2 linked regions of the Notamacropus eugenii genome follow. The protein of the gene in region 2 interacts with the protein of the main gene of each other region in a pairwise test. Links are inferred from orthologs where the notes say so. Each region holds a gene or a part of one and is shown on either strand. Other genes may lie near its edges.

Region 1 (7,124 bases), on a different chromosome or scaffold from region 2:
ATTTGAACTCAGGTCTTCCTGTCTCCAGGCTGTCTCTACACAGCACAAATCCTTTATCTGCTATTCCAAATGCCATGAGCCTCGATGAATCAGCTTTCTGGAAACAAAAAGGGAAGGAGGCCAGGGGTCCATCCATACAGCTGTTTGGACAGCAAGGACAGGATACTATAACTGGCATAGCCCCAGGGGCTGACTGCCCTTGCTCCTTGGTACCTTCTAAGCATGTTAAATATTTCCATATGGCAACAATATCAAAGTAAAAAAAGACACTACCTCTAACTCAACCCAACCTGCAAGTTTTCTACCTCTCAACATATGGGCCCCACCTCAGGTCCCCAAACCAGTTCTTACCCTCATTCAGAGTGAGGAAGAGGAAATTGAGGCCCAGGCAGGTCAGCAGGGAACACACTGGTGTCTGCCACCTAGAACACAGAGAACCTTGATCAGTACAAATGGTGTTCCATTCCTGTGTGGTACCACAGAGCCAGCAAGCAGCAAAGGCAGGACACATGAGATTGAAGAGAAATGGTAAATAATGAAGAGGCTTTTCCTTTAGCCAAGCAAGGGGCAGGGAGAGTAGGGAGGCCTGGTAAGTATGCCAAGGATAAGAGGGGAAAAACCTGTGAGGAACAAGGTAAACACTAATCCTTGTAATGAGAAGAATGACCATCTCAGGGGTGCTTCCTCTGGGGGTCTTGGGGTAGATTTCAGAGGGTCCATGAAATTGTATGGAAAGAAAAATTACACCTTTTTTTTTTTTCAGTAACCTCCATCTGAAATTTGACATTTCTTTTTCTTATTTAAAAGTATTCTTCTAAGAAAGTGGTCCAGAGGCTTCACCAGCCAAAGGGGTCTATTACACAAAAAAGGGTAAGGACCCCCTAGACTAAATGCCCAGGGCAGTATCTACAAAAGCACACCCGTGAAGGAGTATATTTAACCACTTTTTAAAAATTACTTCAAACTACATAACGGTGTGGTCTGTTCAAGTGTGGACTGGACAGGACCAGATGACCTCTAAGGTCTCTTGTAATTCAGAGTTTCACAATTCTATGAAGGGGGTTTTATCATTCTCCTGAAGTAAAGGCCCCTGAGTGAGTGAATTAGGAACACCTGGGGAAGACAGAGTAGTTATGTACATCCCCTTTAAAAGGAAGTTCAGTTCTTCTAAGAAAAAAAAACTCAGAAGAGCAAGATATCTGTCCTGTGATCTCTTGATTGTAAATATAGGGTAATTAGAGCCCAAGAGAGATAAAAAGTGAAAGAAAAGAAGTCGGAAGTCAAAAGCAATAAAAACAAATACAAAAAGACACTTAAGACTGATTAGCCTTTCAATGTGCACTATTTATTCTACCTAATTGGACTATTTCCTCATTTCCCAAATAAAGTTAATTTCTCTGCTTTTATGTAAATATACTTCCTTTGGGGAAGAAAAGAAACAAAAGCTTGAGACTCTCTGGAATGGTATTTCTCTGAAAGCTGTACCTAGTGTCCAACTACCGCCCTCATTAATCCTAATCACTGATAGCAGTTAACAAGGGTAGGACATAAGAAAGCTCCTTAGAACTAACTAATCCTGAAACCTCAGCCTCTTTATGGTGTGAAAGACATTATCCTCCCATGGCAGCCATTCTATTGTTAAACTTTCTTCCATGCTAACTTGTCCCTTCATGAAGACTTTTGTGATGACCGGCTACTGCCCACAGGAAGGGCTGCTTACAGAAGACTGGCCTTTTAGAAAACCATGGCTGATTACACAGATCTGACAGCATCTCTACAGACCAGGGTCAAAAGCCTTTCAACACCAAGTGCTCTTTACTAGCGAAGGAAGGAGAGCCAAAGAACAAGCTTATCTCATACCCTCAGGCTCCCAAAGGTACAGAAATCAAAGACTCCAGCAGATTTGTGGGAGGGGTTTTAACCCAAAATCCAACAATGTCTCCACATCCTCAGTTTTATTTCTCTGGGAGGAAAAATAAAAAGAATGCACTAAAATACTTTAATATGCTATACTGCATGTTATTTCCCCTGCTAGACTGTGAACTCCTTGAGATCAGGGACTGTCTCCTGCATTTCTTTGAATCCTCAGTGCTAAGCACAGTCCCTGATCCACAATGTAGGTGCTGAATAAATGCTTATTAACTGAGGGCTTCAGATTAAAACAGGCTACCTGGTTTGGCTGCCCGGACCAAGGAGTCAAATCTAAGCGATGGTGACATTCAGCCCAGGTTTCTGAATGGCTATTACAGCAACATACAGAAGCAAAATGTGCAGATGCCAGACATCCCTACTCCATGAAGGCCATACCTGAGCAAATAGAGGATCCCATCGCCTGCATCCTTCAGGGGCTCCAAGTACAGAACAAGTCTCTTGTAAAACAGGACCAAATTGAAGAGGTCAAGCACTGGAGGCTTAGGTGGGGCAGGTGGAGGGTCAGGTTGGGCCTCAGGCATGGCAGTGGGTGTCCCCTCTGGCCCACAGCTCTCTTGTTCTAGTGCCTGCATCCTACATTAAGTTAAAATGGAAATATCAAACAACACATTAATGAGGAAAGCAGTAGGTAAGGGGAAAAATAGGGAAAAAAAATCTCCTGGTTCCTCTAGACATTCTATTATATTTACCCACAGATACTCATATTTTTACATTCCTACTCGTCTACTCGTCAAAAGAATAATCTGGTAACTTGGTGGGACCTGTCTGTCATTTCTTCAAACAATAAATATTCTTTTATGAGATTCAAACAGAATTTATCAGCTACCTCAAATCCTTTCTCTAAAGAGGAGGGGAACCTATCCAATACAGATTTCGTTCCCAACTCCAAAATTCTGGATACCTCCCACGACCCAGCACATCACTTTCCTTGAATATCTAAGAGCTAAACCAGAAGAGGCTTAAAAACAGAATTTAAAAATAAAACATTTAACTTTAAAATTCCCACCCATCCCTACCAGTCTTGGGGGGGAACATAGAGCAGGTCCCTCTTCCTCCAGCCCATCACTGTGGAAGGGAATTGGACCAGGAACTGACGCACCCCCTGGCCCAGAGGATCTTAAGAGCAAGAGCTGCAAGCTATCGGCTTAGAAATCACCCAGTTCAGGAGTCCTTGAACGGTCTGATATTTTGGTAACTGTTTCAATCAACCGGTTTCTTTGTAACACTTTGTATCATTCATACTTCCGAGGCGTCACCAGACTTCCCGAGGGGTCAGTGACACAGATCGGGTCCAGCCCCCTCAATTCAAAGACCCAGCGGGCTGAAGCTACTTTCCCGACAAACACGAGAGCCAGCCCCGGGTCCTGGGACTTCCGTGTTCCCGGAACGTCCTTTGGGGACAAATCCAAGGTCTCCCTCCACTTTTCTCCGAGGGACGGACCCGATCATAGGTCACTCCGGCCCGCCGGCCTCGGGCAGCCCTCCAGCCCAGGGAGACGAGGGGAAGGGGAGTACGTAGGGGAGGGGGCCCCATGCCCAGAGTCAGGGCCCGCCGCGGAGCCTCAGCCCCACGTACCCGACCTGCGGCCGGCTGTCTGCGACTCTCGGGGTCGGGCCCGGGACCCGGGCGCTACCCGGGTCGGATGGGGGCCGCCCGGTCAGGCGCGCAACTCCCAGCCCCCCGGGCTCAGGACCTTCCCCTCCACAGCAGCTCCTGTCACAGCTTCCGGAAACCTCGCCAACGTTTTACGCAGCGTGCCTCGTGACGTCAACGCGCGGGCTCCGCCCCTTCCAATCATTGTCCAGACTCCCCAAGGACGGGAAGGAGGCGTGTCCACAGAGGAACCGCTCCACCCCCTCCTCCTCCCAAGATTTTTTGCATACTCCTTTCGGAGGGTGGCCCGCGGTAGCAATGCGCCTGCGCGTGTCTTTTTTTTTTGGAGCCGCTGTGTTTCTAAGCAACCTTCCTCTGGTTTAGAGTGATGTCACCGGGAAGTCGACCTGCCTCCTTTTCCTGGGCTCTTTGAGACTGGATTCACATTTGCCCAAATTGACCGTACTGGGGAAACAGTGATGGAGGGGCGGCCTCAGTATTGGCAGGCGTCTCAAAGATCCTCTAGGCCAAGATCTTCCTGACTTGTTTATTGGTGTCTTTTCACATCGCCGTCACTTCCACCTCCCCTCCTCGTAGCAAACCTTAGAAGTTTGGGGGCGGAGGAGCCAGCCCACACGTCTGCAATAAGCCTCCCCCTGGCCTCCCACCTCCGCAATGGACGGATCTTATGTAATGTGGGGATCTCCAAGAGGAGGAAACTCCCTAAAACGAAGCAGGTCATCCCTTCTTTTTGCAATTTATAGGCCTTAAGAGTTACAAAGAGCTTTTCATGCGTAATCTCAATTAATCCTCACAACATCCTGGTAAGGCAGGTGCTATTAATAGTCATTAAAAACACCACTAACATTTATATAGCACTTCCTATGTACCAGGCACTGTGCTAAACGCTTTACAAATATAATCTCACTTGATCCTTTTGACAGCTCTTGAAAGTAGATGCTGTTTATCCCCATTTGACAGATAAGGAAACTGAGGAAGACAGAGGTTAAGTGACTACTCAAACTCAGGTTTACCTAATTCAGGGCCAAGCCCACCTCCTCTTTTTTTTTACCTTAAGGGGGTCCAGAGAGATCAATGATTTGTCCCTGGCTAACAGCTAGTCAGTAGCAGAGCTTAGATTACAGAAATCCGGTCTCCTGACTCCCTTAGCCAGTGTTCTATTACCACACAGCTACTCCGTGGATTTTAAAGGATTTTTTCCCCCTAGCCCCAAAAGAAATTTTTCCCCACCAACTAGGCAACAAGTCTGGAATTCCACCATTTTTCATGGTTTTTTTATCTTGAGAAGTATTTCTCTTCAAGATTCCTTTACAATAACTCTGGAAAGGGTTATCAAAGATTCATAGATTGTCACCGCTGGCAAGGACTTTAGAAATCACCTATGCTTTTTTGGACCTGTTGAGTTTAATATGTCTACTGAACACCTAGTTCAAGACAACTGAGAGGCAGTTGGAAATCAGGAACTGGAGGTCAACGGAGAGGTTAGGGTAGACTGGGTATATTTGAGAATCATCAGCATAGAGATGGTCATTAAATTCCTGAGAGCTGATGAGGTCACCAAGTGAAAAAGTATAGAAGATGAAGAGAAGAGACCCCAGGACAGAACCCTGAAAGACACCTATAGCATAATCTGGAAGAAGATCCTGCAAAGGAGAGAGAGGAGTGGTCAGATAGGTAGGAAGAAAACCAGGAAGAGAGTGGGCAGCTACGTGGCACAATGGATACAGCACCAGCCCTAGAGTCAGGAGGACCTAAGTTCAAATCATCTTAGACACTTACTAGTTGTATGACCCTGGACAAGTCACTTAACCCATGAAAGAAAACTAAGAAAGTATCAAGGAAAAGAGAGTGATCAATAATGTCAAAGGCTGTAAAAAAAGAGAACTGAGAAAAGGTCATTGAAATTGGCCACGAAGAGATCATGAGCAGCTTTGAAGACAATCCTCCCACCCCCTTCCTTGTTACTATACAGGGCAACACTATCCTCCCAATCCTTCAATCTCATAACACAGGAGTCATCCTGGATTCCTCACTGTTTCTCATCCCCACATATCCAATCTGTTCCCAAGGTCTGTTGATTTCACCTTGGCAACATTTCTTGAATTTGCCCCCTTCTCTCCTCTGACACTGCCCTCTGGTGCCATCGCTCATTGCCTCATGTCTGGACTATATTGTAATAGCCTGCTGGTGGGTTGGACTGCCTCAAGTCTCTCCTCACTATAATACATCCTCCATTCAGTCACCAAAATGATTTTCCTAAAGCTCAGGTCTGATCATGTCACTTCCTACTCAATAAACTCCAGTGACTCCCTATTTCTTCCAGAATCAAAAAATAAGATTCTCTGTTTGGCATTCACTCATGAATGCCTTTGGGGAGAAGACCTTAAATATAAACTAAATTTTGTTTTAAGAGATTTTCACCAGGACTCCAAGTTGGGAACATAATGAACCAGAGAATTATAAAAAGAAGTTTGAGCAAGATAAATCTCAGATATGTTCCCCTCTCTCCTCAGATCCCAACCTCCACACTGGTACCATTCCTTGTTACCTAACACCTGGGTTGTTGTAATAACTTTCTAGTTACTCTCTCTGAAGTTTCTCGCCATTGCAGTCCTTCCTTTACTCTAGCTACCAGTGATCTTTCTAAAGTACAGGTCTGACTAAATCCCTCCCCTCCTCAATAAACTCCAGTGACTCCCTACTTCTGTTTAGCTTTTAAATCTCTTCACAAACTGGCCCCTTCCTACATTTCCAGAACTAGTACCTTCCTTCCGGGATTATCTCTAAGTTATCATTCCTTGAAAACAGGGTCTGTTTTTGCTTTTCTTTGTATTCTTGGTACTTAGCACAATGCCTGGTACATAAATAAATGGCTAATAAATGCTTGTTGACTTTCTGATCCACTCTCTTTAGAGATGGGGCTCCCCTCAAGACTGAGCACAGCATTTTAATACTTGCTGACTGATTGAGCTCTTTAAGACATAGAGTTCCTCAAGATTGAAAAGGGGGGTGAAAGCAGTGCCCTCCTTTTCCTTTTTTAAAAGAAAACAGGACCCTGCCCCAGTCATTATAAATGGGTTAGCTTGTCTTCAATGCAAAGGAAAGAACAGTGGACTATGAGTCAGAAAGCCCAGGTCTCCACCCTAACTCTTACTCTTTGAGTAAGTTACTTGGCTTCATCAGCATCAGTTTCAAGTCAGTTCAATAGATATGGATTAGATAGCAGCCCCGAACACTCACCATGCTAAGTGGTCCGGATACCAAGATAGACCTTCTATAGGTCCTAATCTTAACACTTGCAATCTAGTCGTAATGGGTTTCCACAGCTATGAAGTGAGAAGGTTGGACTGAATGATCCCTAAAGTCCAGCCCAGCTCTAACAGTGTCTCATTCTGTCTCTATGACTTGGGACACATATTTCTTAAGAACCAGACTCTTCCTATCCTGACTCATGTTTCCTTTGTCCTTCATGCCTTTGCATCATTGACTATTATTGGTACCAAGACTGTTTCCAAGATGGTAAGTGAGTGAATGAGATGGAATTGAAGAGTAACAACATTTAGAACCAAGTAAGTAT
Region 2 (7,489 bases):
TCAGAGCTCTATCATCATCCGGGAACACAGAGAAAGTCTAATTAGACAGAGGGCCGGGGAATGCTTCTTTTATAACTTGATGATCTTTAAAGGAGAATGGAAAGGGAGGGAAAGAGTACACTTGGAGGGAAAGCAAAGTTAGGGAATATTATGTGCAAGTAGAGGTCTAGGCAAACAAGAGAAAACGGGGTAGGGGGAGCCAGTGACACCAATACCTTACTTTTATCTGAACTGATTAAAGGAGAGAAGCATATAGAACACATAGGAAGGGAGAAGGTGAAATAAGAGGAAGGGTAAATTAAGAGAGGCATTAGTCCTAAGTAAAACAAACTAACTAGGGTTATACAAAAATATCTATAGAAATTCTTTTTTGCAGAGACAGAGTTGGAAACTAAGGAGGGTGCCTACTAATTTGGAGAATGTCTGAACAAATTATGGTATATGAATGTGATAGAATATGACTGTGCTGTAAGAAAATATGAAGGGTATAGTTTCAAAGAAACCTGGGAAGACTGGCATGAATTGATGATGAAAAGTGAAGTATGCAGAACGATACATTATAATGACAACAACATGTGAGAAATAACTAACTTTGAAGGACTAAGGAGCTCTGACCAACAGATCAACGAGCAGATTCCAGAGAAGTCATGATGAAGCTTACTCCTCACATCCAAGTCTAGAGGTGAGGGACCCAGAATGTTGAATGAGGCTTATTTTTTGGACATGGCCAATACAGAAATTCCTTTTGCTTGACAGCACATGTTTGCACACAGGAGTTTTCTTTTTCTTTCTTTCTCAACTAGGAAGAAAGAGAGGTGGGAAGGAAGGCAGAATTTTGCTGATTGAAAAAAAATTTTTAAATATATATATTTTAAAGACATAAAAGTACTCAGAAGAAAAAACAGAGGGTCAGGAAGATTGGATCAGTTGCCTATGATCACACAAATAGTATAATGAGGACTTGAACTCAAGTCTTCTCAATTCTAAGTCAATCAATCAATAAACACGTATTAAACATCTTGGATGTGCCAGGCACTGTGCTAGGCACTGTGCTAGGCACCAGGGATACAAAAGGAGGCAAAAGATAAACCCTGCCTTGAGGAGAATGCAAGTACAGCACCCTGCCTCCCTCTCTCCCTCACTGAACTAATGACAGTGTACTGCCTTTTTGTACTTATTATATTCTAATATATATTTTTATCTGTTAAAAGCGCTGTGATAAAGACCATCTCTTACTCAAGCTAAGTTAGCACGATGGCTGAAGCGAGAGATCTGGAGTCAGGAAGACCTGAGTTCAAATGTGGCCCCAGACACTTACTAGCTGTGTGACCCTAGACAGGTCACTTAACCTCTGCCAGACTCTGTTTCCTCATCTGTAAAATGGGGATAATAATAGCATTTACCTCCCAGAGTGTAGTGAGGATCAAATGAGAGCTTTGTATTATGATGATAACGATTCTGGTTTCCACTCTCCTCTTTCAACCAAGAGACTATATATACCTGGCCCCAAATAGTAATGCCTCAATTTGGGCCTGCACATAATACATATGCTCCTTAAAAGGGCAGGGAACATTTTATTTTTGTCTTTGGAATACTCAGCACCTAATTCAGTGCCTGGCACACAGCAGGTACTTAATAAATGTTTACTGGATGACTGACAGTGAACGCTTAATAAATGAATGAAGTAACCCATGCCCAGCCTCAGACCCAGCCCCCACACCCTCATGCCTGAAAGTTTCAAGCCTCTTACCCAAGATGTCCATCCACTCCTCCTGGAGGGCGCCTGAATGCTCTGTCTCTTCATGCTCTGTCTCTTCAGATGCTGTAGGCTGAGGCTCCGTGGGGTCCTCATTTTGGGCTGCTCCCAGATCCTCCAAGGGAGGCAGCTCATTCAAGTCATCATCATCGTCCTCTTCCTCTTCAGTTCCATCCAGGACCTCAAAATCCTCACTTGCATCCAGCTGGGCAGCCCCGGAAGGTGGTGGAGAAACAGGGACTGGGTCTGCAGTAGGGGATGCAGCTTTGGATGCCATGGTTCTTGAGAGATGCTGCTGGTGAGGGGTGGAGGTACAGAGAGAGAGAGAAGAGCAGAAAGAAAGAGAGAGAAAGAGGGAGCCAACAAAGGAATAGAAGTAGCTTAGGTGGAGAGGTAACCAAGTACAAAGCCCACCTCGGTTGTCTCTGTCCTTGCCATCTTCCCTGGCTGGGACAGGGGGTGCTGCAATGGAACCAAGCTCCTGACCATAAGGGTGAAGGGGCTTTAGAACATAGTATCTAAACTGGGAAGAATCTTAGAGGAGGTAGACAGTTAGTTCATTGTATCTGGTCTCAGATATGGGTATGAAGCCCAGCTCTGTCATCTGACTGTGGGAAGGTCTTACTCTACCTCCCTAGGACTCAGTTTCCTCACCTGTAAAAATGAAAGAACTAGATTAGATGGTCCCTAAAGTTCAGCTCTACCCTTCAGTGACCACCAAATCTCTGTCATTTTGCAGATTGAATAAAAAAAAGTGGGGTAGAAAGGAGAGGAATCTGCCCAAAGCCAAAGATTTGGTCAGTCTGTGGCCACTGGGAACAGACCACAATTGTCCTGATTGCTCCTTTTAGGGGTCTTTCCATAAGGTCATCCTACTCACTCAAGACTGATCGCCTCCTTCTTTGACCCATCCTCATTATTGCGGAGGGGGGGGCGGGTTTTAACGAAGAAAGACTGCTTGGGGTACAGGAAGGGAATGGGGCAGGATATAGCCTTCAGGGTACCTGCTGATAGCATCTGACAGGTCAAACATTTACCGAATGAGATGACCTCTGCCAACACCTGGGGCTGTGGGGATGCCAGCAGGTGTGGAGTGGGATGGAGGATATCCAGAAGCCCCTAATCCTTCCCTTCAACTGAGAGGCCTGAGGCCAGACCCCTGCTCTATGGAGTGGGGTGATCACTGAACTTCCATCTAGCGTGGGGCGCGATTCTGGGGGTCTGGGGTCCAATCCCAGCTCTGCCATTGACAGTCAACCCGCAGATGACCTTGTTCCCACTCTGGGCCTCAGTCTCCTCCTCTGTGAAATGGGGGTTGGGAGGGTTGGACGAGGTGACTCCTGCGGTCCCTCCCCTCTAAATTCAAGCTCCTGTTCAGGTCTGGGGCTCTGCACACGCCCCCCGCCCTTTCCCTCCAGTCCCTGGGACCCTCCCCCCCCACCTCGGACTGGATGGGCAGGGACGGGACGCCTGGGTCCCTGGGGTAGATCTAGGCCGCTCCGGTTCGCGAGGCCTAGAATGGCTCCAACGGTGGGGCCGGGGTCTCCCCCGGGGTCCCCCGCCCCCATCCAGGTCCCCAGGCCTCGTCTCCAACCCCCACCCCGCTGCGGGCTCGAGCAGCCACCCCGCTCCAACCTCCTCTGCCAGCCGGGGCCCCGGGAGTTACCGAGGTCCCAGCCCGGCTCCCCCGGGGACACGTGGCACCAATTCGGGACCCCCAGGGTCCTGTGGGTCCCCCACCACCCAGCAGCAGCAGCTGCTGCCCGGCCTCGGGAATCAGCTGCCCTAGGCCCGCCCTCCCAGGTGCTCATTGGCTGAACCGGCCAGGAAGGCTTCCCGGATTGGTTGATGTGATTATCGCTCTAGGCGCGAGGACCCGCCTCCTTCCTGCTTTGGTTTCCAAGGTTTTTCAAGCTCTTAAAGGGACCGAGGCAACATGCGCGGGTGCGGAGGTCACGTCCAAGGCCAAGTCCTGAAGGGCGGGGCCAGGACTCCTCCGGGGCTGCGTTGGGTTCAACTCTCGCCCCCTCCAGGCAGCCTGTTGTTAAATTTGCGGCGAGAACGTTCGCACCTCGTAAGTGGACAAACAGCACGCCAGCGCTTGATGTATTGTTATGTTAATTAAGTAGGTTCTAGAAAGTGATGGAGAACGTGCTAATAACTCCGACGAGGATGCCCCGCAAGTCCTCCCCTCTGCACCTTCCCCCACACCCCTCCCTCCGGCCCCGCCCCCGCCCCTGCAGTGTGCTGTGTTAAACATTTACCTGCCTATCCCTGACCCGCGTGAACCCCCCCCCACACACACACACACTCCCCCCACGCAGCAGGGGGCCTCCAGCTAGTGAGCATCCGTGACTTCTGGGGCCTTGGAGGCGAAGGTGTGCTCGATTTTGACAACCCACCCCCTGTACCGTAGTTTCCCCATTTGCCAAACTCAGCCGACAAGGACATACAACGTGAATTTATATATGTATAAAATTTCATATCGTAGGTATTCTATAACTTCATTTCACGTAATTTAATTATGTTTATATGACACACGTATGAAATAAACATAAAATGCATTTAATACATACCTATAATATGTGAAACATACACATATGAAACATGAAACCATTTAAAATATACTTGGATCACTTTCCGTTTTAAATGAAATTGACAGATCACTCTAGCAACATCTCGAGTAAGTGGAATGGAAATGGCTTAACCTTCTGGGGCCACCACCCTTCCTAGTCTCCTCCCCCATTTCCACTTACCCCAGAGTAAAGATTACACTTTTAGAGGCAGATAGGACTTTAGACTTCATGCAGTCCAACCCCCTCTTTTTACAGCCCCAGAGGAATGAAGTGAGTTAATCAGGGTTGCAAAGTGCTTATATAATGAAGTTATCTATGTTTGTGCACCTTGAGGGCAAGGACGACTTCTCTGTTTTTCTTTTTTCTCCAATAAAAATGTTCATTTATACTTTTTTAAAACATTAGAATCATTTCCCAACATGCTGCGCCACCCCCAGACTCTTCCTTGGTAAGAAAGAGAATTTTGAACAAAACCCATCTATCAAGGACACACAACATTCCCCTCCTCTTGACCTAGAGACAAAAGTATGTTTTTTCCCCTTTTACCCGGGACCAAAAACAGAAAACATCAGCCCGTGGGACAGAAAACATCTGAACCCTATTGAGAAAGGTAACATGAAAATTAAAAAAAAAAAATAAAGGACAACTAGGTGGCAGCTAGGTGGCTGTGGGGATAGAACACTAGCCCAGGAATCAGGGGGACTGAGTACAAATTCAACCTCAGACACTTACTAGCCATGTGACCCTGAGCAAGTAAGTGCTGTGTGACTCAGTTTCCTAATCTGTAAAGTGAGCTAGAGAAGAAATGGCAAACCACTACAGTATCTTTGCCAAGATTTGGAAACTGAGGCCAGAAGAGGCAAATGAGTTGCCAAATGTCTGTCACACAGGAATTGAACACAGTCTCTCTAACTCCGGAACTGTTGCTTATACAAGCACAGGATTTTAGACTTGGAAAGGACCTCAGGACCAAGCTGATGGGGTGCTTGGGCCCCAATTCTAAAATCACATTTCTCTTTAAAAGTCACATTTCTCCCTAGCCTCAAAACACTATCCCAGGCAGTTTCTTCCCAGCCCAAGGACACAGCCTGCCCCAGGAACAACCATTATCTCCCTTCCTAATACAGCAGCCAGTTGCACTTATAGAACTTATTAGTCTGAACCAGCTGTGTCCTGGCTGAACTGGCTATGCCCTGGGTCATAACTGATCAATCATATGTATCCTAGACTTAGACACATGTATACTCCCTTACATTTATCTTGTCTAACAAGACATTGATGAGAGCAACCTGGTATTTCTGAGCCAGCCCTGACCACTTGTACACTTAGTGACATTTCAGGCCTAAAACCATACCTCCAAGTAGCCCTCCCTTGGGCTATTTCCCCATGAACTTTGGGTAAAATACCTGCGCAGTAGATACTAAAAGTGCATGCTCCTTTAAGAACTGACCGCTCTTTAACCACTCCCTAATCCCACCCCAAAACACCTAGTTAACATATTTGGCACATGCTTTACTATAGAATATCCTATATAAACTTTACCTGTACCCCTTTAAGGTTGCAGGTTCCGTAAGAACTCTTGCGCACTGAAAAGTGTAATAGAAGATGGAGAAGTAGAAAGAGGCACACACTCTAGCTCTTCCCCCACAGCCCGTAAAATACATGTGAAAAATATATCAACAAATTCTAGAGCAGCAGAAGCCACAGAACGACAGAGTAAAGGAGATTTCCAGCCAAAGGTAATCTTGAAGGCCAACAGGAGACGTCTATCCCATGCGATGCTGAGTGCAGTAGAGGCCAGCCCTGGCTGTGGCAGTGGGAGGAACAGGACCAGAACAGGCCTCTGGGGCAGAATCCCCAGCAAGGAGGGTCTCACATCCCTCAACTCACAAGCACCAAAGAAAGCTTCAAAGGTCACTAGGTGAGAGGGGAGCAAGATCCCCCTAGCACTGGCCCCAGGCAGTGGAGGTGGTAGTGGCAGCAGCAGCAGGGGTGGTGGTAGCTGCAGCATCCATCTGTGAAGCACTCAGCCTAAAGTCTCTAGAGGAATTGAGCAGCTGATCAGAATCTCACCCCTGAGCACAGCCCTGGGGTGAACAGGAGCACTAGAACCCTCCTCTTGACAAAGGATTCAGAAGTCAAGCAACTGGCTGGGAAAATGCCCAAAAAAGGGAAAACAAATAAGACCATAGAAGGTTCCTTTCTTGGTGAACAGGTATTTCCTTCCATCCTTTCAGATTAGGAAGAACAAAGAATACTGTCAGAGGAAGTCAAGGCTTATGCATCCAGTACTTCCAAAATGAATATGCAATAGGCTCAGGCCATGGAAGAGCTTGAAAAGCAAGTCAACAGCTTGCTAAAGAAGACCCCAAAAATAACACCTTTAAAAATAGGCTAACTCAATTGGAAAAAGAGGTCCAAAAAGCCAATAAAGAGAAGAATGCTTTAAAAAGCAAAATTGACCAAATGGAAAAGGAGGTTCAAAAGCTCACTGAAGAACATAGTTCTTTAAAAATGAGTATGGAACAGATGGAGGCTAATGACTTTATGAGAAACCAAGAAATCACAAAACAAAACCAAAAGAATGAAAAAATGGAAGATAATGTGAAATATCTCATTGGAAAAACAACTGACCTGGAAAATAGATCCAGGAGAGACAATTTAAAAATTATGGGACTACCTGAAAGCCTTTATCAAAAAAGAGCCTAGACATCATCTTTCATGAAATTATCAAGGAAAACTGCCCTGATATTCTAGAACCAGAGGGCAAAATAAATATTGAAAGAATCCACCAATCACCTCCTGAAAGAGACCCAAAGAGAGAAACTCCTAGGAATACTGTGGCCAAATTTCAGAGTTCCCAGGTCAAGGAGAAAATATTGCAAGCAGCTAGAAAGAAACAATTTGAGTATTGTGGAAATACAATCAGGATAACACAGGATCTGGCAGCTTCTACATTAAGGGATTGAAGGGCTTGGAATAGGATATTCCAGAAGTCAAAGGAACTGGGATTAAAACCAAGAATCACCTACCCAGCAAAACTGAGTATACTTCAAGGGAAAAAAAGGTCATTCAATGATATAGAGGACTTTCAAGCATTCTTGATGAAAAGACCAGAACTGAAGAGAAAATTTGACTTTCAAACACAAGAATGAAG

Evidence for each region. The genes of interacting proteins can lie anywhere in the genome.
Region 1: the proteins of FKBP8 (region 2) and ZFYVE27 interact in binary tests that used the Homo sapiens proteins (3 or more experiments, as listed by UniProt). The link is inferred for Notamacropus eugenii from reciprocal best matches to the Homo sapiens genes FKBP8 and ZFYVE27.

What each region holds. Positions count from the first base shown.
Region 1 is NC_092872.1:214,485,505-214,492,628, reverse strand, and holds the start of ZFYVE27 (protrudin), read right to left. Parts: upstream 3,043-7,124; 5' UTR 2,996-3,042; coding exon 2,949-2,995; intron 2,506-2,948; coding exon 2,308-2,505; intron 423-2,307; coding exon 352-422; intron 1-351. UniProt on the Homo sapiens protein: Key regulator of RAB11-dependent vesicular trafficking during neurite extension through polarized membrane transport. Promotes axonal elongation and contributes to the establishment of neuronal cell polarity.
Region 2 is NC_092875.1:67,000,726-67,008,214, reverse strand, and holds the start of FKBP8 (peptidyl-prolyl cis-trans isomerase FKBP8), read right to left. Parts: upstream 3,019-7,489; 5' UTR 3,004-3,018; coding exon 2,794-3,003; intron 2,052-2,793; exon of another isoform or gene 2,049-2,051; coding exon 1,751-2,048; intron 1-1,750. UniProt on the Homo sapiens protein: Constitutively inactive PPiase, which becomes active when bound to calmodulin and calcium. Seems to act as a chaperone for BCL2, targets it to the mitochondria and modulates its phosphorylation state.